Cricetulus griseus: one gene and its partners. The protein of the gene in region 1 interacts with the protein of each later gene in a pairwise test. Links are inferred from orthologs where the notes say so. Each region holds a gene or a part of one and is shown in the gene's direction. Other genes may lie near its edges.

Evidence for each region.
Region 2: the proteins of Card9 (region 1) and Tceanc interact in binary tests that used the Homo sapiens proteins (3 or more experiments, as listed by UniProt). The two-hybrid records come from large-scale screens. The link is inferred for Cricetulus griseus from reciprocal best matches to the Homo sapiens genes CARD9 and TCEANC.
Region 3: the proteins of Card9 (region 1) and Tcl1a interact in binary tests that used the Homo sapiens proteins (3 or more experiments, as listed by UniProt). The two-hybrid records come from large-scale screens. The link is inferred for Cricetulus griseus from reciprocal best matches to the Homo sapiens genes CARD9 and TCL1A.
Region 4: the proteins of Card9 (region 1) and Tfip11 interact in binary tests that used the Homo sapiens proteins (3 or more experiments, as listed by UniProt). The two-hybrid records come from large-scale screens. The link is inferred for Cricetulus griseus from reciprocal best matches to the Homo sapiens genes CARD9 and TFIP11.
Region 5: the proteins of Card9 (region 1) and Kiaa0408 interact in a two-hybrid assay, tested with the Homo sapiens proteins (2 studies listed by BioGRID and IntAct). The two-hybrid records come from large-scale screens. The link is inferred for Cricetulus griseus from reciprocal best matches to the Homo sapiens genes CARD9 and KIAA0408.
Region 6: the proteins of Card9 (region 1) and Trim23 interact in binary tests that used the Homo sapiens proteins (3 or more experiments, as listed by UniProt). The two-hybrid records come from large-scale screens. The link is inferred for Cricetulus griseus from reciprocal best matches to the Homo sapiens genes CARD9 and TRIM23.
Region 7: the proteins of Card9 (region 1) and Cdca7l interact in binary tests that used the Homo sapiens proteins (3 or more experiments, as listed by UniProt). The link is inferred for Cricetulus griseus from reciprocal best matches to the Homo sapiens genes CARD9 and CDCA7L.

What each region holds. Positions count from the first base shown.
Region 1 is NC_048599.1:137,744,308-137,747,807, reverse strand, and holds part of Card9 (caspase recruitment domain-containing protein 9), read left to right. Parts: coding exon 1-29; intron 30-474; coding exon 475-612; intron 613-808; exon of another isoform or gene 809-1,384; coding exon 1,385-1,689; intron 1,690-1,767; coding exon 1,768-1,947; coding exon of another isoform or gene 1,948-2,031; coding exon 2,032-2,175; intron 2,176-2,501; coding exon 2,502-2,627; intron 2,628-3,500. UniProt on the Homo sapiens protein: Adapter protein that plays a key role in innate immune response against fungi by forming signaling complexes downstream of C-type lectin receptors.
Region 2 is NC_048604.1:101,283,365-101,286,545, reverse strand, and holds the end of Tceanc (transcription elongation factor A N-terminal and central domain-containing protein), read left to right. Parts: coding exon 1-262; 3' UTR 263-2,681; downstream 2,682-3,181.
Region 3 is NC_048598.1:189,490,436-189,492,572, forward strand, and holds the end of Tcl1a (T-cell leukemia/lymphoma protein 1A), read left to right. Parts: intron 1-1,051; coding exon 1,052-1,222; intron 1,223-1,580; coding exon 1,581-1,637; downstream 1,638-2,137. UniProt on the Homo sapiens protein: Enhances the phosphorylation and activation of AKT1, AKT2 and AKT3. Promotes nuclear translocation of AKT1. Enhances cell proliferation, stabilizes mitochondrial membrane potential and promotes cell survival.
Region 4 is NC_048597.1:92,000,000-92,003,956, forward strand, and holds the start of Tfip11 (tuftelin-interacting protein 11), read left to right. Parts: upstream 1-1,157; 5' UTR 1,158-1,287; intron 1,288-1,514; exon of another isoform or gene 1,515-1,715; intron 1,716-2,768; 5' UTR 2,769-2,982; intron 2,983-3,267; 5' UTR 3,268-3,276; coding exon 3,277-3,485; intron 3,486-3,957. UniProt on the Homo sapiens protein: Involved in pre-mRNA splicing, specifically in spliceosome disassembly during late-stage splicing events. Intron turnover seems to proceed through reactions in two lariat-intron associated complexes termed Intron Large (IL) and Intron Small (IS).
Region 5 is NC_048595.1:247,808,326-247,812,476, forward strand, and holds the start of Kiaa0408 (uncharacterized protein KIAA0408 homolog), read left to right. Parts: upstream 1-1,351; 5' UTR 1,352-1,418; coding exon 1,419-1,592; intron 1,593-4,151.
Region 6 is NC_048595.1:322,471,743-322,475,128, forward strand, and holds part of Trim23 (E3 ubiquitin-protein ligase TRIM23), read left to right. Parts: intron 1-1,591; coding exon 1,592-1,716; intron 1,717-3,386.
Region 7 is NC_048598.1:191,926,219-191,930,512, forward strand, and holds the start of Cdca7l (cell division cycle-associated 7-like protein), read left to right. Parts: upstream 1-1,494; 5' UTR 1,495-1,569; coding exon 1,570-1,626; intron 1,627-4,034; coding exon 4,035-4,178; intron 4,179-4,294. UniProt on the Homo sapiens protein: Plays a role in transcriptional regulation as a repressor that inhibits monoamine oxidase A (MAOA) activity and gene expression by binding to the promoter.

The sequences.
Region 1 (3,500 bases):
CAACCTGGTCATTCGCAAGCGGAAAGTGGGTGAGGGCTGCTCCCACACCAGCAGGGCTGTCCCTAGTCCCTCATGGTCCCCACAGACACCTGGCCAGAGGCTGCTACATGCTGTGCCGCCCTGGCCTTGTCCCCACCCAGCTCCATCTACACCTAGGATGTATGCATGAGAGCCTTCTCTCCTCTCATCATGCCTACCTGCTGCTACCCAGAGGAGGGAAGGGGAGTTCCTACCATTGTTCAGGCTGTGAGAGAGCCACAAGAGTGAAGGCAGCACCTTACTCTGCCTTGACTGAGACCTGCAGGGTGCCTTATGCAATGCCCCAGATCCCTCTGCTAGGAAGGGCCCAGAAACGAGGGCTGGGGGTCCACAGCTTGGCACCTCTACTCAGAGCAGTCATCCACTGTCCCACCTGGGCCCCAGAGCTTCTACATACCCAGACCTTGGCCTCAACTCTGTCTCTTCCATCTGTAGGTGTGCTACTGGACATCCTGCAGCGGACAGGCCACAAGGGCTATGTAGCCTTCCTTGAGAGTCTGGAACTCTATTACCCTCAATTATACAGGAAAGTCACGGGCAAGGAGCCAGCACGAGTCTTCTCCATGATCATTGGTGAGAGGCACAGAGTGGGTGGGTGCTGTGAGTGCAGTCAGGTGCCACCAGGTCCTGGCTTCTGTGATTACATCAGAATGAATGAGTCTAATACAAGCCCTGTGGTACATATCAGAGTAGTGGTACCAGTGACTACTCTCAGGTGCTCAGGGTCAGGGCTCCCTTCTCTGCCTTTCCTACTCCCATCCTAAGAACATCCACTAAGAAGAGGTGACCCCTCTATAAAGTATTAATTCCATGGGGCCCAGTTACCACCTAAGGACAGAATCCCACAGTTTCTAGAGGGGACAGAGGTGAACTGATGGAATAGCCACATCCCTATCAGTCCACATCCCTATCATTCATCTCATAAAGATCTTTATAAAGGTAGACAGAGGGCCAGGCATGCTGGCACACACCTTTAATCCCAGGGAGAAGCAGGCAGATCTCTGAGTTAGAGGCCACCCTGGACTACATAGTGAGACCTTTTCTCAGGGAAAAGAGAGAGAAAAAGAGAGAGAGAGAGAGAGAGAGAGAGAGAGGGCCAGCTGGAGTCCTGGCATGTGATAAGTTAGAATCTCAGTCAGTTCATATGTGAGGGGCAGCAAGGCAGACTGGGCCTGGTGAACAGTCCCCAGGGAGCCTTCCCACCAGCTTTCTCTCTGTGGAAGACCAGTAGTGCTCCCTCTGCCCCTCAAACTGCTGGTCTTCAAGCACATACTTCTGGACAAGGACAAGCACAGGGTCTGCAGGTGACAGCCACAGGCTCCATCTGACACTGCATGGTCCCCAGATGCATCAGGGGAGTCAGGCCTGACGCAGCTGCTGATGACAGAGGTCATGAAGCTGCAGAAGAAGGTTCAGGACCTGACGGCACTTCTGAGCTCCAAGGACGACTTCATCAAGGAGCTTCGGGTAAAGGACAGCCTCCTGCGCAAGCACCAGGAGCGTGTGCAGCGGCTCAAGGAAGAGTGTGAGCTGAGCAGCCGAGAGCTGAAGCGCTGCAAGGATGAGAACTATGACCTGGCCATGCGCCTAGCACATCTGAGTGAAGAGAAGGGCTCAGCGCTCATGCGGAACCGGGACCTGCAGCTCGAGGTGATCGCTTGTCCCACCAGCAGGGGGGTGGGGGTGGGGGTGTCTGGAGGAGGCTGCTGCTGACTGGACCACCCACAGGTGGACCGGCTCAGGCACAGCCTCATGAAGGCAGAGGATGATTGCAAGGTGGAGCGAAAACACACCCTGAAGCTCAGGCATGCTATGGAGCAGCGGCCCAGCCAGGAGCTGATGTGGGAGCTGCAGCAGGAAAAGGACTTGCTGCAGGCCCGGGTGCAGGAGCTGGAGGTCTCTGTACAGGTAGGGCTACCAGCAGTGCACACCAGGGGCACACCAGATGGTACAACTGCAATGGCCAGGCTTGTTGCCCTTTGCCACCTCCAGGAGGGCAAGCTAGACAGGAACAGCCCCTACATTCAAGTGCTGCAGGAGGACTGGCGCCAGGCACTGCAGGAGCACCAAGAGCAGGCCAACACCATCTTCTCCCTACGCAAGGACCTCCGCCAAGCTGAGGCCCTCCGGACCCGGGTGAGAGGGCAGGGCAGGCAAGCAGTACCCACTGGGTATCTGGAAGGCAGGGTCTGGAATGTAACTCACTGTCTCCCCTTCACCAATTCCTGGTGCACAGTGGTGTCATGTCCACAGCTAGGGTCATCCTTTCAGTTTACCGTGTGATCGGTGGTGGCTGAGGCCATGGTCTCAGACCAGGCAAGCCTGCTGTGGCCTGGGACTGCAGTGCCCTTCCCATCATCCCGGCTAGCCCGATCTTGAGTGCTCTGAAGGTGTTGCCTGAGTCCAGCCCAGGGCCAGGTGAGCAGTGGAGAGTGGGTGAGGCTGAGTGGTGCTTCCTGTAGTGCGTGGAGGAAAGGGAGATGTTCGAGCTGCAGTGCCTGGCCTTGCGTAAGGATGCCAAGATGTACAAGGACCGGATCGAGGCTATCCTGCAGCAGATGGAGGAAGTCTCCATTGAGCGGGACCAGGTAGGTGTTGCATTTGTGTTCAGAAGATGAGAATGAGAGGAGTGTTTGGGTGCCGGTGTAGAGGCTTTTGAAGCTGTGGTCAACTCATTACTTTATCTATCTATCTATCTATCTATCTATCTATCTATCTATCTATCTATCTATCTACCTACCTACCTATCTATTTATGCCTGAGGTAACTTGGCAATGTTGAAAGATAGAACCTGGAGCCTCTTGTACAAAGACAGGAACATCTGCCTCTCTCACAGGAAGGGCCAGTGTAGCAGGGGAGTCCCAGTGGCGCCTGTGCTGGTTAGGGGAAGGTCAGGGTTGGAAACTTCAATAGAGGAGAGGAAGTTGCTAGCTACACAGGTGGGAGGTGGAGGCCACAGTATTGGGTAGAAGAGCTGGTGGTAACCCCCTGGAATAGGCAGCAGTAGTAGTAGTGGTAGCTCATACCTGTACTCCCAGCATTTGGAGGTTGAAACAAAATAACTACTGTGAATTCAAGGCCAGCCTGGATTACACAGTGAGTTCCAAGCCAGTTTGGGCTACAATGGTAGACCCGGTCTCAAAAAACCAAAAACAACAAAAAGTAGTAGCAACTGAGCCAACTTTGGTGGCACATGCCTGTAATTCCAGGCTTTGGAGGTAGAGTCAGGAGGATCAAAAATTCAAGGCCATCCTCAGATACATAGTAAATTTTAGGCCAGTTTGGGAAATGAATGAAACTGTCTCCCAGGAAACAAAAGAAGAAGCATGGTATTCATTTTAAGAACAGCCATCAATCATGTTCTTTGTTTGTTTTTTGTTTTTTTGAGACAGTGTTTCTCTGTGTCATCTTGGCTGTCCTGGAACTCACTTTGTAGACCAGGCTGGCCTCCAACTCACAGA
Region 2 (3,181 bases), on another chromosome or scaffold:
GGAACTGAAGCAGTTGAGAGCTTCCTACACAGAATCCAGTATTCAGGAACATCACCTTCCCCAAACAGTTGAAGGCACACAGACAAATAAAATAAAGTGCAGGCGCTGTGAGAAATATAACTGCAAGATCACTGTAATTGCAAGAGGAACACTTTTCCTTCCAAGTTGGGTGCAGAATTCAAATCCGGATGAACAAATGACCTATGTCATTTGTAATGAATGTGGGGAGCAGTGGTACCATAGCAACTGGGTGTGCTTGTAATTTGTAAATAATCCCTTCAGGGGTGTGTGTTTTATGTGTATAACATAACCCTTTTGTGTTCATTTTTTATAGAATCTTACTGCTATTTTGTCTTTGGGATTTTGGCTTGTGAAAGATCTTACTATGCAAGCACAGTTAGCCTCAGTCTCCTCAGAGCTGGAATTACAGATATACACTACCACACCTGGCTTGGTATACTGTTCTTACTACAGTCCTGGGAATAAGGAAAGAGAGTTGTTTGCCAAAGTGCAGGCCACCATTGTTAAAAAGTTGTTTGGGAAAAGTACAAGACTATCACGTTGTACTTGTGGCCATTCAGAGTAGCACAGTAGCTCTACACAGCCTGAGATCATGTTAGAGAGGCAGACTCTCTGGACTGATACTCTTTGAATCCTGATCTGCAACTTGGTAGAATCCCCAGGTCATCCTCTGATAAAGTTGCAGGCCTGTGGGTTTCAGAATGACTATACATTAGAGTTTTCTTGGGCGCATTGAAGTATACTGGTGCTGAGGGCCAAGCCTAGAATAATTCAGTCTGAACCTATGGCGTGGGACCCAGGCATCAACATTGCTCTGGTTATTTCTTAGTTTGCTTTAAGTTGTTGTTAGAGTTGAGAAATACCTGTAAATAGTCTCATTTGAGCCTTTCTATAGTTCTGAAGAAATGAATGATATTCTGGAGACTTACAGATGAGGAAAGAGGCCCAGAGATCTTCAGTGACTTAACCAGGTTACATAACTGTAGGTAGTCTGCCTCACACTGATCCCAAATTATATACCTTCCTTCTGAAGCAAGTGTGATGGCACATGTCTGTAATCCAGATGCTAGGGAGGATGAAGCAGGAAGGTTTATGTGAGTTCAGGGCCAATTTAGATTGTAAAGTCCCTGTCTCAAAAAAATAGTACAAGTACATTGTGGTGCTTCAAATACATAATCCTAGCATTGGAGATGCTGAGGCAGACTCCCATGGATGAAGCCAGCCTGGGTTTTGTAGAGAAAGAATGTCAAAACAAAAAGATGCACAGTCTGAATATGACTTCCTATTGACTATGCAAAAAGTGCACTCCTGGAAATGGGTGCTAAGAAAATAGTGTTTGGGGCCTCTTAAGTTTACATGACTAGAGTTTTATCCTTTTGTCCTTGATTTTCTCATTTTTACAAGTCTCTCTCTCCTTTTTTTTTTTTTTTTGATTTTTCGAGACAGGGTTTCTCTGTGTGTATCTCTGGCTATCCTGGCACTCGCTCTGGAGACCAGGCTGGCCTCGAATTTACAGAGATCCACCTGCCTCTGCCTCCTGAGTGCTGGGATTAAAGGCGTGCACCACCCCACCAACGCCCGGCACAAGTCTCTCTTAACCTATTAAAAGTTGCACTGTGAGTTAGAATTTGGATTAGAGCCTGCTTTCTTAGTTAAATGAGCTGTACATATTTCCCTTTGTGTGAGCTTGTCTTTATCTTCTTTATTATACATAGTTTATTGATGTCAGGAATCTTCATGTCTTCAAAGGCATGTGTGTTCACTCCCTCAGCCTTTGAATTTATCAACATTCATTTACTAACTAACTGAAGTGGAAATCACTTCTCTAAGGCCTTTGTTTACTGATTTATATGCTTAAACACAACAAGCCTCTTGTTTAATATTACTAATTTTTTTCCTTAAAAATGATATAATGTTATTTGGGGTTTTGATTCTTTAACATGTAAATCAATTTTATGCATAATCCACACAGAAGGTTACCATGTGGTTAGATATGCATTTTTTCTTTTGTTGTTTGACAGAGTATCTATTTTTATAAACCTGACTCCACTCTGTAGCCTAAGCTAGGCTCGAACTCCTTCTGGCCTCAACCTCTGGAGTGCTGTAATTTGGGGTATAAGACACCATTCATTGATTTTATCATATTAAAGAATTTATTTCTTAGTTCCATGTAAACTCACATGTTTTCATCAATTATAGTGCCCTAAATCCCCAGTATTCCTTCAGTGGAATCTATAGGCTTTTCTTTATGTATATTTTACCTCTTTATGACAGTTCCCCCAGTGGGTGCATAAAACTAGCAGATATTTCTATTTCCTGTGTTTTGAGGCTGTCAAGTCTGAATTATATTTTGTTTTATTTTCTTCATTTTGCATTCCAGTGGTGTTCATTATAATGTAATGTGTTAGTCCTTTAAACAGAAACTTACAAAGTCATCAACAACTCAAAAGTTTCACAAAGTGTGGTTTCATGTGACTTGGAATGATCTTAAAACCTAGATGGTGGTTGTGCAAGAGTGCACACAGCACATGAAAACCATGTTTAATTTGTTCAAGTCAGTGTTGGTATTTGGGTTTTCTATGTATCTGCATATAAGTACTAATATTGAGATTTTGTAATCTACATTTACCAAAAATAAAAGTACTTGAACTGGAAAAATCTCTCATTCTCCAAGATTTTTTTTTAAATATGTGCGGTCTTTCTCATTTCCCATAAGCTTTGTCAGTTAGTTTTGCAACTAGGGAAATGGTGATGTGTGTTTTATTCTTTTGGTCAGTGAGACAGTTACATTTTCTGAGTACAGATAATTCTTTCACATTGTAGCTCATCTCAGAGATAGAAAGAAAGGGAGGGAGGAGTGAGTTTGTTTGTTTGTTTGTTTGTTTGTTATAGGGTTTCTTTGTGTAGCCTTTGCTGTCCTGGAACTAGCTTTGTAGGCTGGCCTTGAACTGACAGAGATCTGCCTGCCTCTGCCTCCTGAGTGCTGGATTAAAGGCTTGCAAGAAGTGTTTCTTTTTCTTTTCTTTTTTATTTTGGTTTTTTTCGAGACAGGGTTTCTCTGTGGCTTTGGACTGTCCTGGAACTAGCTCTTGTAGACCAGGCTGGGCTCAAACTCACAGAGATCCACCTGTTTCTGCCTCCTGAGTGCTGGGACTAAAGG
Region 3 (2,137 bases), on another chromosome or scaffold:
AGAAATAGTTGCCATGGCCCAGGAGAGCTGTGCCAGCGATGGGCAAACAACGCCTGTCACCAGAATCACAGTGTTAGAAATGGGTGTGGGGGCGTCTCAAGAAAATGACCACACAACCCAAAGCATTCAGCAAGACAGAAAGTTATACTTCCGTAGGTTGTGCAGCTGTGCCACAGGGGTCCTGAGTCCCATTCTGGTTGGTCAAGAGTTCAGCCTCTTCACAGTTGAATAACTTAGAGCTGTGCAGTCCACAAGCAAAGTGTAACTTTGAAAATAGGACACAACCTTGAGCACAGACTTTGATCTTAGAAATATGCTGACTGGAAGGGGATTTTCTTTTGCTAGATAGCCTCTTTAGAGATGGAGCTTCATCTCATTTAACCCTCTGATAGAAAAGACAGTGCGTTTTGTTTACAGTTCCCACAGGGGTCCATAGATAGACTGGTTCCTCCCTTGAAAGAGGGCATTGGACAAAAGCAAAGTCAAAACCCAGGCAGGGCTGGAATAGAGTTGGTAAAGTGCTTGCCTTGCAAACGTAAGGTCTTGACTTCAATCCCCAGAGTTCAAGTTTGAGAAACCGAGTGTTGTAGATGTTGCTAGTAATTCAGCACTGGGGAAGCAGACCTCTGAAGCACGGTCACTGACCAAACAGCCTCGCTTTGTGTGTGTGTTTGTGTGTGCCATGTGTGCCCATGCATGATCCAAGCCAATAAGAGACTTTGTCTTAAATTAATAAGTAAATAAGTGAAAGGAAAAGTGGATGATGCCAAAGAAATGACACCTTAAGGTTCCCTCCCCCCACACCTATAGGACCAAGTTGAAGGACTCGGTGGCTTAGCAGTAGGAGCGTTGGCAGGAAAAAGTGCACCCTCAAGGATGGCTAGACCCTGCCAGAGTCCCTAAGATTGTGTGTAGCCTGTGGAGTTGAAACCAGGGGCAGTAACTGCTCAGTGTATTGGGTCAGTGATAGGATGGACACTGGGTGTTGTGCCTGAGGGAGCCTGGCAGTGGTAAGCAAGAGGTGAAGGTGTGTTTTGTTCTTCCTCTGCAGACTGATGAAAAATTCCAGGTGATCTTGCGCCAGCAAGACGTCCCCTTGGGGCTTGCTATGATCCCTGAACAGCTGGAGGCATACGAGCTGCCTTTAATGTGGCAACTATACCCAGGGAAAAAGTACAGAGGCAGTGACTCCATGCTCTGGCAGATACTGTACCACATCAAGGCAAGCACAGCTTATCCTACGGACTGAGTGGGTAATCTCCAGTGGTCCTGCTCTCAACTTGGGGTTGGCTTGGGTTATCCCTCCATCCTAGTACCAGAAGCTAAGCTAATGGAAGGGGAGCTAACTGCAGATTTTTGTTTTTAAATGGGTTAAAGAAATAGAAGAGGCTATCTTCTGAGGTCTCAACCAAACTCCTTAGCACAAGGAGCTCTGTGGTAGTCACTGACTGAGACCAGTGGAGAGGGCTAGCCCCTCAGGTCCCAGTGCTGCCCCAGGCTAAAGAAAGCTAAGCCAGCATAGAAGGGGAGTTCTTGGGGCTGGGTCTGATCACTCTTGTCTCTCTCCTTCCCCACCTTAGTTCAGAGGCGTAGAAGACATGCTACTTGAACTGATGGAGTCTGAAGAATATCCATGACATGGTGAGTGCACCGGGGCTCCATCAGGAAGGAGTAGTACCCTTTTCCATGAAAGCCATGCCGGCTCCTCCCCAGCAGCTGTCCTCAGAGAGAGCCCAGGGTGAGGCAGGCTTCCCAGAAGTGTCCATGTCTCTTCCTTTACCCCCCTAGGAGCTACAGCTACAGCCGTGTTCATGGGCCACCACAGGTTACCGTTGTTTATGATCAGTTGTCACTGTGTGACTTTTTTTTTTTTTTAGATTTTATTTATTTATTATGTATACAACATTCTGCTTCCATGTATATCCGCACACCAGAAGAGGGCACCAGATCTTATAACATCCGGATGGTTGTGAGCCACCATGTGGTTGCTGGGAACCCAACTCAGGACCACTGGAAGAGCAGTCAGTGCTCTCAACCTCTGAGCCATCTCTCCAGCCCCCATCACTGTGTGACGTTTACAGAGGCAGATTTCTCCATCTTACCCATTCTCCTCACTGGGTTGGTGTTTGCCTTGGCC
Region 4 (3,957 bases), on another chromosome or scaffold:
GAAAGCAAGAACTGAGGTAGAAGCCATGGAGGAACACTGCTTATTGGCTCGCTCCCCAAGCTCAACCAGGACCATCAAAGCAGGGGTGGCACCACCCACAATGTCTGGTCTCTCCTACATCAATCATTAACCAGGTTAATGACCCCACGGGATTGCCTAACAGGCCATCCCAGACAACTCTTGTGTGTGTGAAGCTGACAGGGAAAACCAACCAGCCAAACAAACAAACAAACAAAAAACAACTAAAAACCCCACCAGGACGTGAGAGAAAACTAACTTTTTCTTTAACCCTAGATGGCATCAGACTATAACCCGGAGAAGCGTAAGATGAAATATGCTTTTGCTTGGCGGTGGTGGCACACGCCTTTAATCCCAGCACTCTGGAAGCAGAGGCAGACCAGCGAGTTCAAAGCGAGTTCCAGGACAGCCAGGGCTACACAGTGGAACCCTGTCTTGAAAAACCAAACCCAAACTAATCCAAGCAAAAACCCCGCCCCGCTTCCCCTTAGTTGTTTATCACAGCAAGAGAAATAACTGGAGCGGAGAGGAAAATAATAAAACTTCTTCCTGGAGAGAACGCTTGTGCACGCCTTCCGCCCATTCATGCCTTAAACTTTTGTGGGCCCAGGCTGGCTTGTCCTAAAAGAGCCAAGAAGGAGGCACCTGGGTGCAGAAATCTGCTGTCTTAGTGTCAGTCTGTTTCAGGAGAAAACAGGAATAGGGACTGGCAAAGGAAAACGGGTTTATTTACAGCCTGGCCAGACTGCCTGGAGATAAGTTCTTAGGCTCCTTTACCTTTCCTGTTTACAGCAAAGAGGAAACAAAAGCCCGGAAGTGTGCATGATGATTGCTCTGCAGCGAGGGGATCGGAACGGAGAAATCTCTCCTAGGAAGCCCCTCGCTTTCCCTTCTCGCGACAGGGAGTGCCGAGGGCGTTTTAATTACTCAGGGTCCGCGTGACATTGGTTCAGGTAGTCCGGACCCGGCTGTTCCCATCCGCGAGGGGGGGGGTTCCCGGAACCATTCCTACGCTCCCTTGGACACCGGTCAATGGCGTTCCATTGGCCGGATGTCTACTCCGCCTCAGTTCCGGTGGAAACCGGAAGCAGTGCGGGCGGGATCTCTAGTCCTTCCGGCACGCAGACCCTCCCCCCTCTAGTGGCAAGTCACCGCCTAGTGACGTCATTCCGGTGCGCCGGCAGGGCTACATCCGGGTTTCGGCTGGCGGGCTCCTCGCAGGCTCTCGTAGGCTGGAGAAAGCTGTGTGGCTGGCAAACGCCGAGCGAGGTGAGCGGCGGGGTCGGGGTGGCGTCCTGGGAGCACGGGCTGAGCCTCTGCGGCGGCCCCATGGCCTCCCTGCGCCCGGGTCTCCAGCCATGGGCTGCGGCGGGGCCGGGACCAGATGAGGCGCTGGGAGCCGCCAGCGTCCCGATGCTGACACTGGATAGCCAGCCCCGGGCGCGCTCGTGTTGTGAGCAGCACCTGACCGCTGTGAAATTTTTTTTTTTTTGTAGCAGTTCTGTGCTGGGGAGGCGACGGTGTTGTAATCCGATTGGTCCAGGGCTCCCTGCCTCCTTTGAGAACTTTGCGAGCAAAGTGCACTCGTAGCTCAGGTTGGAACCTGTTGATGTTAACGGTGCATAATGAGGAGGAGCAGGGACACATTTGTTAATGGCTAAGCAGTCCCACCCTGCTAGAGAAGCCCAGATCTCGCTGTACGTAAGGAAGACCGCTGTCAGTCGATGGCGTCACACACTGAGGACGTTAGTGTGCTGTGTACCACGCTAGCGTTTTTGTGTGTGATATCCACGCATGTGATAACCACGCACAGAGGCGCTGGTAGAGGGGGGCTTTGAACTCAGGCTGTGTGGTTTAAGTGTTCCTGATTTTCACAATCCTCCCTACCTCCCTCCGTCCCTACACAGGGTCTCTCTGTGTAGCCTTGGCTGTCCTGGAACTCGCTGTGTAGACCAGGCTGGTTTCTAATTCACAGATCCGCCTGCTTCTGCCTCTCCAGCCTGAAGAGGATACTGTTTTTGGTTTTTGTTTTGGTTTTTTCGAGACAGGGTTTCTCTGTGGCTTTGGAGGCTGTCCTGGAACTGCCTCTTGTAGACCTGGCTGGTCTTGAACTCACAGAGATCCGCCTGCCTCTGCCTCCTGAGTGCTGGGATTAAAGGTGTGCGCCACCACTGCCCGGCGAGGATGCTGTTTTTAAAGCACCTATTGGGAGCTCAGCTTTTGTTATTTTGTTTGTTTTGAGACCAGGTCTCACTGTGTGGCCCCGACCAGCCTGGTATTCACTATGTAGACCAAGCTGGCTTTGAATTTACAGAGTAGACCTACCTGCCTCTGCCTCCTGAGTGAGGCGGTGGGGTGGGAGGTTGAGGAGGGGGATTGTGGAGTAGGTGTTGAGGAAGTTTTCTTTCTTTCTCTCTCTCTCTCTCTCTCTCTCTCTCTCTCTCTCTCTTTTTTTTTTTTTTTTTTTTGGTTTTTCAAGACAGGGTTTCTCTGTGTAGCTTTGGAGCCTATCCTGGCACTGGCACTTGCTCTGTAGACCAGGCTGGCCTAGAACTCACAGAGATCCGCCTGCCTCTGCCTCCCGAGTGCTAGGATTAAAGGCGTGCACCACCAACTCCTGGCAGGAGTTCTCTTTTCTAAAGTGCCACTTTAATCAGTCCTTCTAAAACCGACTGTAGTCACTGATACAATTACCGAGATGGCCAAACAGATTCCTGGGTAGAACAGTTTGTTTATCCCACACCCTCTAGGTGCCGCTGTGTAGTGTCATTCATAAAGACCTCAGCCTTCCAGTACCTCAGAAGCCACTCAGGTTTGAAAGAAAAAACCCGAGTGTTACACTGGTCATTCAATCTCATGAAACAGTATTTCAGAAGACATTCAGAAGTTTCCCTGGGACTCCCAGTTGGCTTGATATAACTCTTGGAGAACTGAAGAGGCTGAGGTGCCCACTCAGTTTCTGAGGTAATAACATAGAACTATTACTTCCTTCCTGTGGCACTTATGGGTGATGTTTGACTCTGACAAGGCCAAGGCAGAATGGGTTCTTAGACCTGTATGGACTGCTGGGACTGACTTCTCTCACTTGTCCCAGAGCTGGCCACTTTGTCCTGTGTTTAATGGCTACTTTATTGACTGGTAGCATGAGGCTAATGGGCTTTCCTTTGGAAGAAACAGGAGTAGAGATTCCTGGGCATCTTCTGTTGGCCCCAGGGTTTCACATTGCTCTTCTTGTCCCCCTTCCTCTAGTGACCAGCCATGTCACTGTCCCACCTGTACCGGGACGGGGAAGGTCATCTGGACGATGATGATGATGAGCGTGAGAACTTTGAGATCACTGATTGGGATCTCCAGAATGAGTTCAACCCCAACCGGCAGCGTCACTGGCAGACCAAGGAGGAGGCCACTTATGGGGTATGGGCTGAACATGACTCCGATGAAGAGAGGCCCAGCTTTGGAGGCAAACGGTACTGTCTGCTGAGCTGCATGCCCTGGCTTTAGAGGATCGGAGAGGCACCCCAAAAGAGTTTTCTGGCCTATCAAGTCCTATAGCTACAGCATCTTGCTGTGTGTTGTTGACCTGGGGTGGCAGGTTCTTCCTCAGCACTTACTGTGACGAATACAGCTACTTAGGGATAGACGAGTGCTAACCAACCACAGGCTTGGTAGCTTTGGAACCATGCCCTGGTCAAGGAGCATTCTCACAGGTCCTAAAGGATAGGGAGGTTAGGGAAGGTCACCCTGTAGAATACAGTTGGCTGAAATGAAGGTAGAGAGTGATTAGGGCCACAAGATAAGTGTGGTAGGACAGCCTGTGCTACACAGTAAGACACTGTCTCACAAGAAAAGAAAAATGCATGTGTCCCCACACTTAACTACACTCAGAATTTTTTATTAATTTTACTTAGGATCCCCCCGAGACAGGGAGTCTTTGTGTGG
Region 5 (4,151 bases), on another chromosome or scaffold:
TGTTTCTAATTCCTTCTAGTCTATAATAATTCATTCCTATCTTAACTGGAAAGGCCTGACAAAATTAATCTTTCATTGCCATATAATATATGGGGTGTGAAATATGCATCTGTCTTTGGCGAGTGCAAACTTGTTCTTGCTACATAATCATACAGACTTAGTTCTTCCAGGAACACCACAACACTGACTATTGGCAAATTCGTGCATCAGTAACAGAAAATGGTATAGCATTATGACCATGTATTAGTAAAATGAAGCATCAGAGTTTGGGTTTTGTTTGGTTTTTGTTTTCTTCTCTTTCTTGTGTGTGGATGCACATGCACACATTGTTGCATACATGTATGTGCTGGAGTTCATCCCAGGCCCTTGACAAGCTAATCATGTGAGCCTGCCAAGTTACCCATAACTCTGTTTCTTATTGGCACAGTTATTTTAAATAAAATTGGTGCATTACCAATAAGCTTTTCTATTCACTCCAAAGATACATGATTTTATTGATAAAAACTTTCTTCAGATAAAGCAAGATTTTTAAAGTCCAAAGTATTTTTTAATTTCTCAAATTACTGTGTATTTATTATACTATCTAAAGTTCATAATAATGCTATGGATATCCTCACTTTAGTGTAAAAAATATCAAAGCTTATAACAGAATTATATATCTGGTATTTAAAGGTTAATTTTAACTATGTGTATATTTGGGGATAGGATATGTGCACGTGTCAGTGCAAGTGTCCACAAAATTCAGAAAAAGATATTGGATTCCCTGAAACTGGGGTTACAGGTGGTTGTAAGTCACCCACTAAGGGAGCTGAGAACCAAATGTGGCCCCTCTGTAGGGGCAGTATGCAGTTGTGAGGTCTGAGCCATCTTTCTAGCCCCTAAGTCCAAGATTTTAAATTGTCTCATCAAGCCCGAAATATTAATATCCTGAATGTTAGAAATCAAGTCATTTTGGTCACTACTTAGTGTAGCATAAGAAAACTTCTCTTCAGTTTCCTATAGTTATTATTCAAGACGTGTATAGTCCAGGTGAAAGAAGAGAGGCCATGAGTAAGTTTTAAGATGTGTCTCACAGAATAATGATAATACTTGAGATTTGACTTAAGAAAGGAAAATAATGATCTTTTTTCATTTTAATATTTGCATGGTTTGTAGTTAAGACACTAGTCTTCTGAGATGACCTACTTTGGGTCTTGGTACAGTCCTTCCACTTGACCTGGGGAGGATCTTGCTTCTTTCCTGTTTAGTTTTCTATAGTTAATTATGTCATTGGGTCTTAACAAAATATTTCCACAAAGCGCGTGAACTTGGGACTCTGTCTTCTTATGTTTATCTCAGGCTTTATTTTAAAAGGCAAGTGAGACCACTTCAAACCAAACACTTCCACACTTCCAAGAAACAGCTGAGAGAAGGCAGAGATGAGCAGAAACCCTTTGGCTGACACTCACACAGTTGCCATGGACCTGCATAAGCAGTGGGAGAACACAGAGACCAACTGGCATAAGGAAAAAATGGAATTACTGGACCAGTTTGATAATGAAAGAAAAGAATGGGAAAGTCAGTGGAAGGTCATGCAGCAGAAGATTGAAGAGGTATGAGTTGATTTGTTTAAAGATGCTGTAAACTCCAAGCTAAATGTGAAAATCCTGCTGACATTCATTTTCTATTGGGGACTACTTTCATTTCTCTTCTTCCACCAAAGAAATAAACGTCTTATGACGCTAGATCAAAACCAGCATAACCACACCTAGTGGTGTCTCTGAGAGTGCATTTATTTTATAGTCTTACATGAAAATACAGACCTTGAAATGGTTCTCAGCCTCGCTAATGCTGTGACCTTTTAATACAGCTCCTCATATTGTGGTGAGCCCACCCAACCATAAAATTATTTTGTTGCTGCTTTGTAACTGTAATTTTGCTGCTGTTATGAATCATAGTATAAATATCTTACATGTATACTAACTTATATGTGAGCCCAAAGGGGTCACAACCCACAGGTTGAGAACTGATGCTCTACAATGTATCAATTTAGTATTCTCTGATTTCAGGTTTATGGTACCAAAAGTAATGTATATGTTCTGTATGACTCCTCAGCTACTACAGCCTAGAATGAAAATGCAAGAAATAAATAATTGGTGGGGCATACAGTATCAAGATTATAATTTGATAATCATATACCATCTCCTTTCTTAGAAATGACTAATGTATACCAAATATTGTCAAATAACTCAGAAGCATCAAATGTATGTCATATGTCAGACAGAAAAATGGTAGAGGACATCAGATTTATTCTGGCAATGTGTTAATAGGAAATGAATTTTTTAAATGACATATCATGGCTCTGACACAGTCAATAATTTTATTCTCATTAATCACCCCCTAGTCATCCTCGACTTTTGCATGAAATGTTCCTTCAGACATTTACTTTAGTGTGCCTTCGAGCTTGCTCCAACTGAAATTTATGTATATTAATTTTGCTATATTTCATTCAATAAATAATATTGAATTTTTTGGTTTCTTCAACTTAACAAGACAGTTATTTAACAGATTCCCGGGCCTTATTTTTTTTCTTTAGCAGACAAGCAAAGTAAGTGCTTTGTATGTTTACAGTGCAACCATGCTTCTTTCTGATTAACAGAAAACAAATAGGTTGTGAGTAAAATACACAAGTGGTATGCCATAATGGAAAATAAAGGATGGGGGTATTAAATCCTTCCTCTAGGGAATAATAAAGGTGAGACATCTGTGATTAATGATTCCAAAATAAATCTACTTTTACTACTACATTTGAAAAACATATTGTACTAGCGTCCTTCACTTCCCTTATCCAAGGGCTTTCCTACCTGTGATTAAAACAGCATAGTTGAGAGTATATTTATAAAAATGTGCTACATATACTGCCCATAGGTAATATCTCAATGCCAGCACTGTGTGTCTTCTTCTGGTTATATACATATGGACTACAGTGTACAAAGCTAAGATAAAAATACTGAGAAAACCACAAGGGGGGTGCTTGGAAATTGTATGGTTCAAACATAGTGAAGTATTTTTTCTTTAGCAAATATGTTGTTTAACAAGTACAGTACGTGTGTTTAAAGTTACTAGGCTCTAGTATTAAATTCTTTCAGGATATTGAGCCATGTGCTAGAAAGACGCAGACTCCAGAGTGTGCATCTGTAACATTGGTGATTTTAAGTAATAATACAATTGAGTGAAAGCATCCAGTATGAAGATGGTCCTGTATCTCTGCTGAGTCCCTCTCCGCATTCATTACAATTGCTATTGAAAATCCAAGGCATATGTACTCAGACAATTTGAAACCTGGAATAATTCCCTATGAACTATGATCATGTATAACTTAGCTGATAGAAATCTTGAAATTTTTTTGTTCCCTTGCAGTCTTTTCTGCTTGTGTCATTTGGTCATTCAGCTATTGAACAGGAAAAATTTCCTATACCAAAGAAAAAGTTTTCCATTTGTTACAGTGTACTAGTACTAGTTTCAGGGGGTGGGGGGCAGAATTCTTGCTGCTGCTGTTTTAATTTCTCAACTAAGTTGAGTTTTGGGAAGCTATAATGGCATAAAATTACATATAAGTTAAATTATACCAAACCAAAAACTGAAGGATTAGATGAATACATGAAAAGGAATTGTATATAATACACAGGAGTGGGTCTTTCTAGAACCCAATATAGTTAACATGCAAAATGAAAAGCCATGAGTTGTGAATAGCACAATTTCCCCTGGGTCTAAAAATATAGCAATTTTCTTTTTAATTCAGGAAATTTTTTGTTTTGTTCTGTTTTGAGACACGGTTTCTCTGTGTAACAGCCTTGATGGTCCTGAAACTTGCTTTGTAGACCTGGCTGGACTCGAACTCACAGAGATTCTCCTGCCTCTGCCTCCTGAGTGCTGGGATTAAAGGTGAGTGCCACCATGCCAAGTCTATTCAGGAATTCTTAAAAATGGGAAAACACTGCCAACAATATCCTTAAATTTAACAGGGGACTTTGGGGGTTGTTCCTTATATCATTCATGTTGAAGAACAATTCAATACAATTAATTTTGTAGGCATCAAAACAATCAATTTATTGCTGTAGTTTGGAAATGAGTGATTAAAATCTTTATCAATATTGGGGAACTAAAAGCAC
Region 6 (3,386 bases), on another chromosome or scaffold:
TTTGAGCAGAGGAGAATAGTGGAGGGAATGATGTAAATGTATTTTATTTAAATTTAAAAAGTAACGGTAAAATTGGGATATGTACATCCGGTTACTCATGAAAAGCCATTATTATAGAATAAAAAAAAAATACCTCCTGTTGGTTGTTATTAAAGTTGAAATCTGTTATCAGTATTCTTATGGATATGATTGCTGACCATAAGGCAACATGAAGTTGAATTTGTGACATATATGTGTATTCTGAGGGTAACATTTAGCCTATTGTAATTTATGATTGTTCAACATCACTACTGCCTGATTTATATATAGTGTGATCCCAGAGGAACCCATCATAGCTTTCTCTTGACCAAACTATACATACCCCAGCATTCCATCTAGCCTTTATCACACCTGTCTCCATTCTACACTCCCCCCCCCATGAAACATACTCATACACTTGTTTAGGTTGTCATCCATCCTATTCCCATTTAAATGTTAGACTCTTTTTAACCAGGACATTTAGTTATTATGGTTACTATAAGCCCTAATTTTGAAGGAGAAGAATACTTTAGAGAGATAATCATGGTGATACTTTATTTTGTAAAAATTGTATTTTTTTCCCCTAAAACGGTTTTTTGTTTTTTGTTTTTTTTTAAGTTTTGAGACATAGTCTCATTATGTAGCCTTACCTGGCCTGGAGCTTGCTATGTAGACTAGGCTGGCTTCAAACTCATAAAGATCCTCTGCCTCCAGAGTGTACCCAGCATTTTTTTTTTATTTGTTTGTTTGTTTGTTTGTTTGTTTGTTTTTAGGTTAGCATACAAAGTAATGAGTTTCATTATGGCACTTTTGTATGTATGTGTCATTATACTGTCCTTCCTCTTAATGACCCTCCTACACCAAAAGAGTCCTCCCCTTCTGCTTTTGTAAGACTTTTTGTAAAGGAAGGAATTTCAAATAATAGTAGCCTCAAGGTAGATCTTAAGCACATTAGAGAGGAGAGCCGTTCGTGTTTGGTAGAGTCAGTTTTATAAATCCTATCAGAGGAGGAGAAAGTAAACTTGTGAAGTAAACTAAGATTATATCATTAATTATTAAGTACTACAAAGGAGTGTGAGTCAGAGTATAAAGCTCTATGAGAAGCGATTTTGACCTGGTAATTTATAAGGAATTGCTTCAGAACTGAGGTGTGGGGTTGCTAATGGTCTAGTGAGTAAAGACCACAATATATTGGCCAGCAAGAACTGTTTCTCAGCAATGGCCTATGGAAGTACATTCCTGCTGATACTTTGATTTTTAACCTACTCTGGATGTTTGATCTTCACAACTGTAGGGCATTACATTTGTGCCATTTTTAAGGCATTTTATGTTTTTGATGTTTTGTCACAAAAGCACTTAGGAAAAAATTCAGATAAGAACTGATAGTTTGCAAAACTAGAAACATTAAAACATTTGCAAAAAGGAAAAAAATTATTAAGTTCTGCTATTAAGTAGGCAACCTTTAAATGAAGACAGAGATGGTAAACAAAATTTAGCTAGAATAATGAATATTACTTCGTTAATTTACTGAAATTTAACAAATAACTTGAGTATTTTTGTGTATTTTTGGTAGCTGTTGTATTTGTTGTTGATAGCAGTCATAGAGACAGAATCAGTGAAGCACACAGCGAACTTGCAAAGTTGTTAACGGAAAAAGAACTCCGAGATGCCTTGCTTCTGATTTTTGCTAACAAACAGGTAATAGATTTTTTTTATATCAAAACACTTATTACTTTAGTAGCTTTGTGTATTCCATGTCATAAGTAAGATGAGAAGATCTCAAAGAATCAACTCAATAGCTATCTATAAAATTTCTGCTATGGAAAATATTACCTTGGTTATCCTAGAGTACACATAAACACACAAATCAATGAATTGATGCAGACAGTGCATTCTTGTTTATGGAGCGTGTTATATTCTAATAAAGATAAACTGGGAAGTAACTTCAATCAGGAGACAGCTATTCTAAATGAATTGGTATCTTAAAGAATCTAAATGTAAAGCCGGGTGGTGGTGGCACACGTCTTTAATCCCAGTACTCGGGAGGCAGAGGCAGGCAGATTTCTGTGAGTTCAAGACCAGCCTGGTCTACAAGAGCTAGTTCCGGGACAGCCTCCAAAGCCACAGAGAGAAACCCTATCTCTACCCCCCCTCAAAAAAAAAAAATAAAAGAATCTAAATGTAGTATTGAGGGAGGTAGATCAAGAGGAACAAGAGTTTAGGCTTTCCTGGCCTATATAGAAATCTCAAAGCTAGCATGAGCTGCATAGCAAGACCCTGTCTCAAGAAAATAAAAGGCTTAGGTTATAAGATTGGAATTAAAATTGTGATAGGATGATTTTATAGATGTCTTTGGGCCTGTAGATAAAGGAAATAATACTAACAAGAAGAGACATAACATGTATTTTTAAGAGATTCAGGTAGAGGATGAAGAAGACCTAGATTAATAGATCTGGTTATGTTGTAAAGGCCTTGCAGGACTAGAATAAAAAGGTTAAGATTTTATGCAAAAGGAAAAAAATATCAAACTTTTTGGACTTGTACATGATAACATCATACCAAAATGTTAAGACTAATTTTGGGGGTAAAAACAAAACAAAACAAAACACAGCCAGGTAGTAAACATAGGACATGTAATTAATAATACCTTGAATTAGAGGAATAGAAAGATGGGAGGAGATAGGAGGACTTCTGTAAGGTAGATTTAGAATAGTGGCTGAATAGAGAAGATGAAAGATAAGGTAGGGGAGGCTAGACTCTTAGTGCCTGAGCTTCACAGGGGGTTAGAATGCTTTTTGTGTGTTTTGGGGGGGGGGGGGGAGGGGGAGGGGGAGGTTCTTTGTGTAGCATTGGAGCCTGTCCTGGAACTTGCTCTCAATACCAGGCTAGCCTTGAACTCACAGGTATCCACCTGCCTCTGCCTCCCTAGGGTTAGAATTAAAGGTGTGTGCCACCATTGCCCAGCGTGACAGAATGCTTTTAACTGAAGCAATGGTGGGGTTTTAATTACGCTTTGTGGATGGGTATTTCCTCTGCATATATTTGTGCATGTGTATGCCTGGTGCCCACAGAGGCCAGAAGAAGGGTGTCAGAGCTCCTGAAACTGGAAAAACAGACAATCATAAGCCAAGCCTCATAGTTGTGAGGACATTTGGGTGCTGGGAATAAAACCAAGGTCCTCTGGAAGAGTGACCAATGCAAACCATGGAGCCATTTCTCCATTTCTCTGAAGTAAAGTTAAATACAGTAGATGTCACAGGAGGGGAAAGTAGAATGAAAAATAAAGAATTTTCACCTCACTAAAAATTAACAAGAACAGGCAAACAAAAAGAACTGAAACATCCTTACCTGACCAGTAAACATGTAGA
Region 7 (4,294 bases), on another chromosome or scaffold:
TAACCATCTAATACAGTGTTAGCTTGGTAATGGACAGCTTTAATTTGTGCTTGCCTTGACATGTTTTTGTTTCATAGTCAGTTTTAAAAGGTAACTTAGGTGGTAGGTATGGTTCTCTTGGTTGGCAGTTACTAGCTTTCATGGCTTAAAATGTCCCATGCTCACCTGGTCTTGAGGGTTGCTGGTGAGAGAGGTGTCATGCTACTCTTTATTGCTGAATTGGTGCCCCCCCCCCCCACCTTCTGGTGTTGGTTGTTAACTTTCTTGTTTTCAATCTTGAGTGTGATATGTGTAGAAAGATTTATCTTTAGTCATGTCAATTAAATTTAAATTTCTAAATGTTATGGCTTCTCTTTCCCTGGATTTGGGAAACTTGGTGTTATTAGTTTCATCGACCATTTTCTATGCCTCTTTACTTCTCCCCTATGGATGGGTCTCTCTCTTTTCTCCCCCTCCTTCCTGTGTGTGGGTGTGTGGTAGGGAATTGAACATAGGACCTTAACATGTATTAGGCAAGCACTGTACACTGAGTCCCAGTCTTGCCAACGGAGTGTTAAGTCATCTCTGGATTATAAGAGTTCTTACTCTTACTTGATTCATTGAGCCTTTTATTTCTATGACTTTTTTTTTTTTATGTTTTTCAATTCTCAGTGCCTTTGACACACTTCTTCACGAAGCTGTCCTTCTTAATCCACGATGCTGGTTTTCTCACCCTTGATGCTGACTTCTCTCCTGTGTTGCTGGGTGGCCTTTCCAGGGCCTAGATTGGTCTCCTTATGTCATTCGTCTGCTTGTTTAGATTGTCTTTGAGGTTTAGTGTTCGTTTTGTTGTGAACTTTTGAGCTTGTCATTGGTACTTTGATACCATAGGACTTTGGATTCACTGCTTGAGGAAGTCACAACATTTTGGAGACATCATGTTGCCTTCTTGTTCCTGTTGTGCCTTGTGAATGGTTGGTGTGGATTTCTCATCTGATTTTATTTGGGGATCTTCATAGTGAACAGCCCACTCGTGAAGTCTCTGCCCCAGTACCACTCAGGGGACAGCAATAATTAAATCATAAAGACAGACTTCCATGTAAAATTACTAAACCTCATTAATGTGTCACCTGTAACCATATGACGGAAGGGGTCAGAACCAATGGAGAGTGTGGTATGGTGGAAGTAGTAAATGAAAGAATAAACACAGGGTCATGGGTAGTGGGAAATAGGGAAGTAAGGCTCACAGAAAGAACGAATAAAGAGAAGAGGCAAATATTATGAAGGAAAAGAGAAAATCGAGAGAAAAAATATAAAAAAATTCTAATAACAAGAAACTTGTCAGCAAACAGTAGGAAGAATAAGGAGAGAAATAAAAACATAAATACCTAAAAAGAAATAAGAGAAACTGGGGTTTTGCAAGCATCTGTGGTAAAGGATGCGATGTGCTAGTTCCACCTGGAGTAACCCCAGCAACCTCGCTTTCATCCTTCTCTTCTGCATCCAAAACAGATCCCCAAAGAAGTAGCGGCCATCTTCAATGCTCCCAGTGACGACGAGGAGTTTGTGGGTTTCCAGGATGATGTTCCCATGGAAACCCTGTCAGGGAGCTTCCAGAGTTTGGACTCGCTGGAGCTGGAGAAACAGGTAGGAGTCTTTCTTCTCCAGACAGGCATGGCCCTCTGGGAGCCTGCAGCAGGGTGTGGGGTACTTTCTCATCTCAGTGCAGTCATCAGTTGGTGATTTGGTGCATGGCGGGTACTGTGTTTCAGAGTCTCAGCTTCCTGTCTCCAGAAGCAGCTGCCTGCGTCTTTCTTTAATTCCCGGCCACAGACAGCTTTGTTGATGAAGGGATTAAATCCACTGTCTTCTTCCCCCAGCTGTCTCCTATGGCAAGACTGTGTTTCCCTCCTCTCACACAGCTGGCAAGGGTGGGCCAGGCTTGCTTCATGCTCTCACACAGGTCACGGCAGTGAAGTGACTTGTGAGACAGGTGCCATGTAGTGGTCTTGCACAAGATTTCTGTCATCCCACTTTTGGGGAGCCTGGGGTGGAATCACCTAATCCTGCTGGGAGTAACAGAAGCACTGGGCTTAGGTTGGGCTCTGTTGTTATTCAGAAATCCCCCAGTCCCCCATGCATGGTTAGAGAGGGAGAGTGGTACCTAAGCCACAAGGTCAAGGGACAGTGAAAGGTGCAAGGCTTGTGGGCATCAAAGACATCTGCTGTTTTTGCTGCTATGACGACTATGTCCATAGTCCCGTCTTCCTTTGCCAGGCCCCAGGCCTGTGAATATGGCACTCATATTGTGTACAGATACTGAATTTACTCCAGACTCCAGGGGCTGGTGGAGTACAGATGAAATAAGCTCTGGGACACAAAGGACTTAGCCACGGTCCTACATTGAAAACAGTGCTCGGTAAGGCTGGCTGTTCCGAATCCAGGACACCACTTCCCAGTCTCCTCCTCCCTGGCACTTTCTCTTACCTGTTGTGCACAGCACATATGCCGGCCAACTCTCCTCACAGCCACTCTTCTGTCAGCTGGCTCTCCCTACTGGAGTGATTCCTTTTCCCCTCTGTGATAGAATGTATGTCTCTGCCTCTATCTAAGTCCTTGTGAGCCTGTCTGACTCCTCAGATTGCAAGTTCCTTGAAGGAGGAGATCATACTTGGCACAGTGTTTTTTATCTTCCCCGGCGCTGACCTTTTGTTGGGCTGCCGCTTTGATCTGGGTTCAGGCATGTAGGACTCTGCATCACCACGCATGGGAGGCACCCGTGGGTGTTTATCGGGTACAGTTGGAAATACATCCATCTCACTGCTACACAGGTCATTGCTATCCAGTCCTTTTTTCATGACACAATTGCTTCTGCCATTTCCTCTTGCTTTAATCATAGTAGACACTGCTTCCTTGGTCTTGCCTTGGCAGCGTAATGAGCAGCTTTCAGAAAGCCAAGAGCTCTGTGAGCCTTTACCCAAGCAGTCAGTGAGGCTGTGCAGTGGAGATTAGCTTTGTACAGCCAGGTGAGAGTAAGCTTGTAGCAAAGCCATTTTAATCCCATCAGGACTGCTAACCTTCTCTAGGATAGAAATTGCCAGGAAGGTTAGAACTTGCTGCTCTGGGCTTGACTCATTCTCTTTTAGACTCTGTATAGGATCTTTGGACATTTATTGAATGTGTGCATTGAGGCTGTTTGTTGCCCTGGAAAAACCGCCAGAGGTTAGCCAGATGTTTCCTGCACTCCGGTGCTTGGTGGGTTTCCTTAGCAAGTGGTTGTGTTGCACTTGTTTCTTTCTTTCGATTTATTTTTATGTGTAAGAGTGTTTGCTTGAGTGTGTAGTTGTGCCCCACTTGGAAGAGCTGCGTGAACCCTCAAAGTGGAGTTAGGGAAGGTTCGAAGCAGCCGTGTGGGCACTAAGAACTGAACCTGTATCTTCTGCAAAACCATTAAGCGCTCTTAACCACCGAGCCATCTCTCCAGCCCCACACTTGTTCTTACATTGATTTTCAACCCTGGTCTAATGCTCACCTGACCCACATACTTGTGATTCAGTTTGTCCAGCTGAGAGAAAGGGCATCAACTTGCACAGTGTGTGTAGCTGACCCTGGGCTCCCTCCCTTAAACACAACTCAAGTTTCTCTGGAAAGAAACTCCTTTCTTTTCTTTTTCTTTTTTTTTTTTTTGCAGCTGCACCACAGCTAACAACAAAGGAAGGAAGTAATTTAGCTCTGAGCAAACCCATTCCAATTACCTATAATTCATAGGGGACATTCTTAAGCTTACTGCTAACTGTAGGCATTTCTTTCTCCACTACCCTGCAAGTTTTCCCACTATTATATATTTCTATTATATCTTTTTTTCCCTCCCCAAAGATATCTGAGTCTGAAGAAGTATATAATTAAAGCCAGAGAAAGGCAGCAATGAAATGGTGTCAACCAAATGTGGCTTTATGAGGGGTCACTGCATGACTGGGTGTGAGCACAGGGACCAGAGTACAGGGATCCTAGGTCTATACTTCCGTGTCTGGCTTTCATGTGTGTTTTCAATTTAGCAGGATGTGTGTTTCCATTCCAAATACCTCACTGAAGAGCTAAGGAGGATTTTCATAGAGGACACAGATTCAGAAGCTGAAGATTTTGAAGGATTTACAGAGAGTGAGCTGAACGTAAGCAGTGACCCAGAGGTAACGGAAGTGGTGGCCCACGCAAAGGAGCGTGGGCTGTAATGTTTCTAGTCTTGCATTGAAGTGTCCTTTTACAGACATGTTACCTTACAAATAAAAAGATAACTCTATCTTTTTTTTCCTGATTT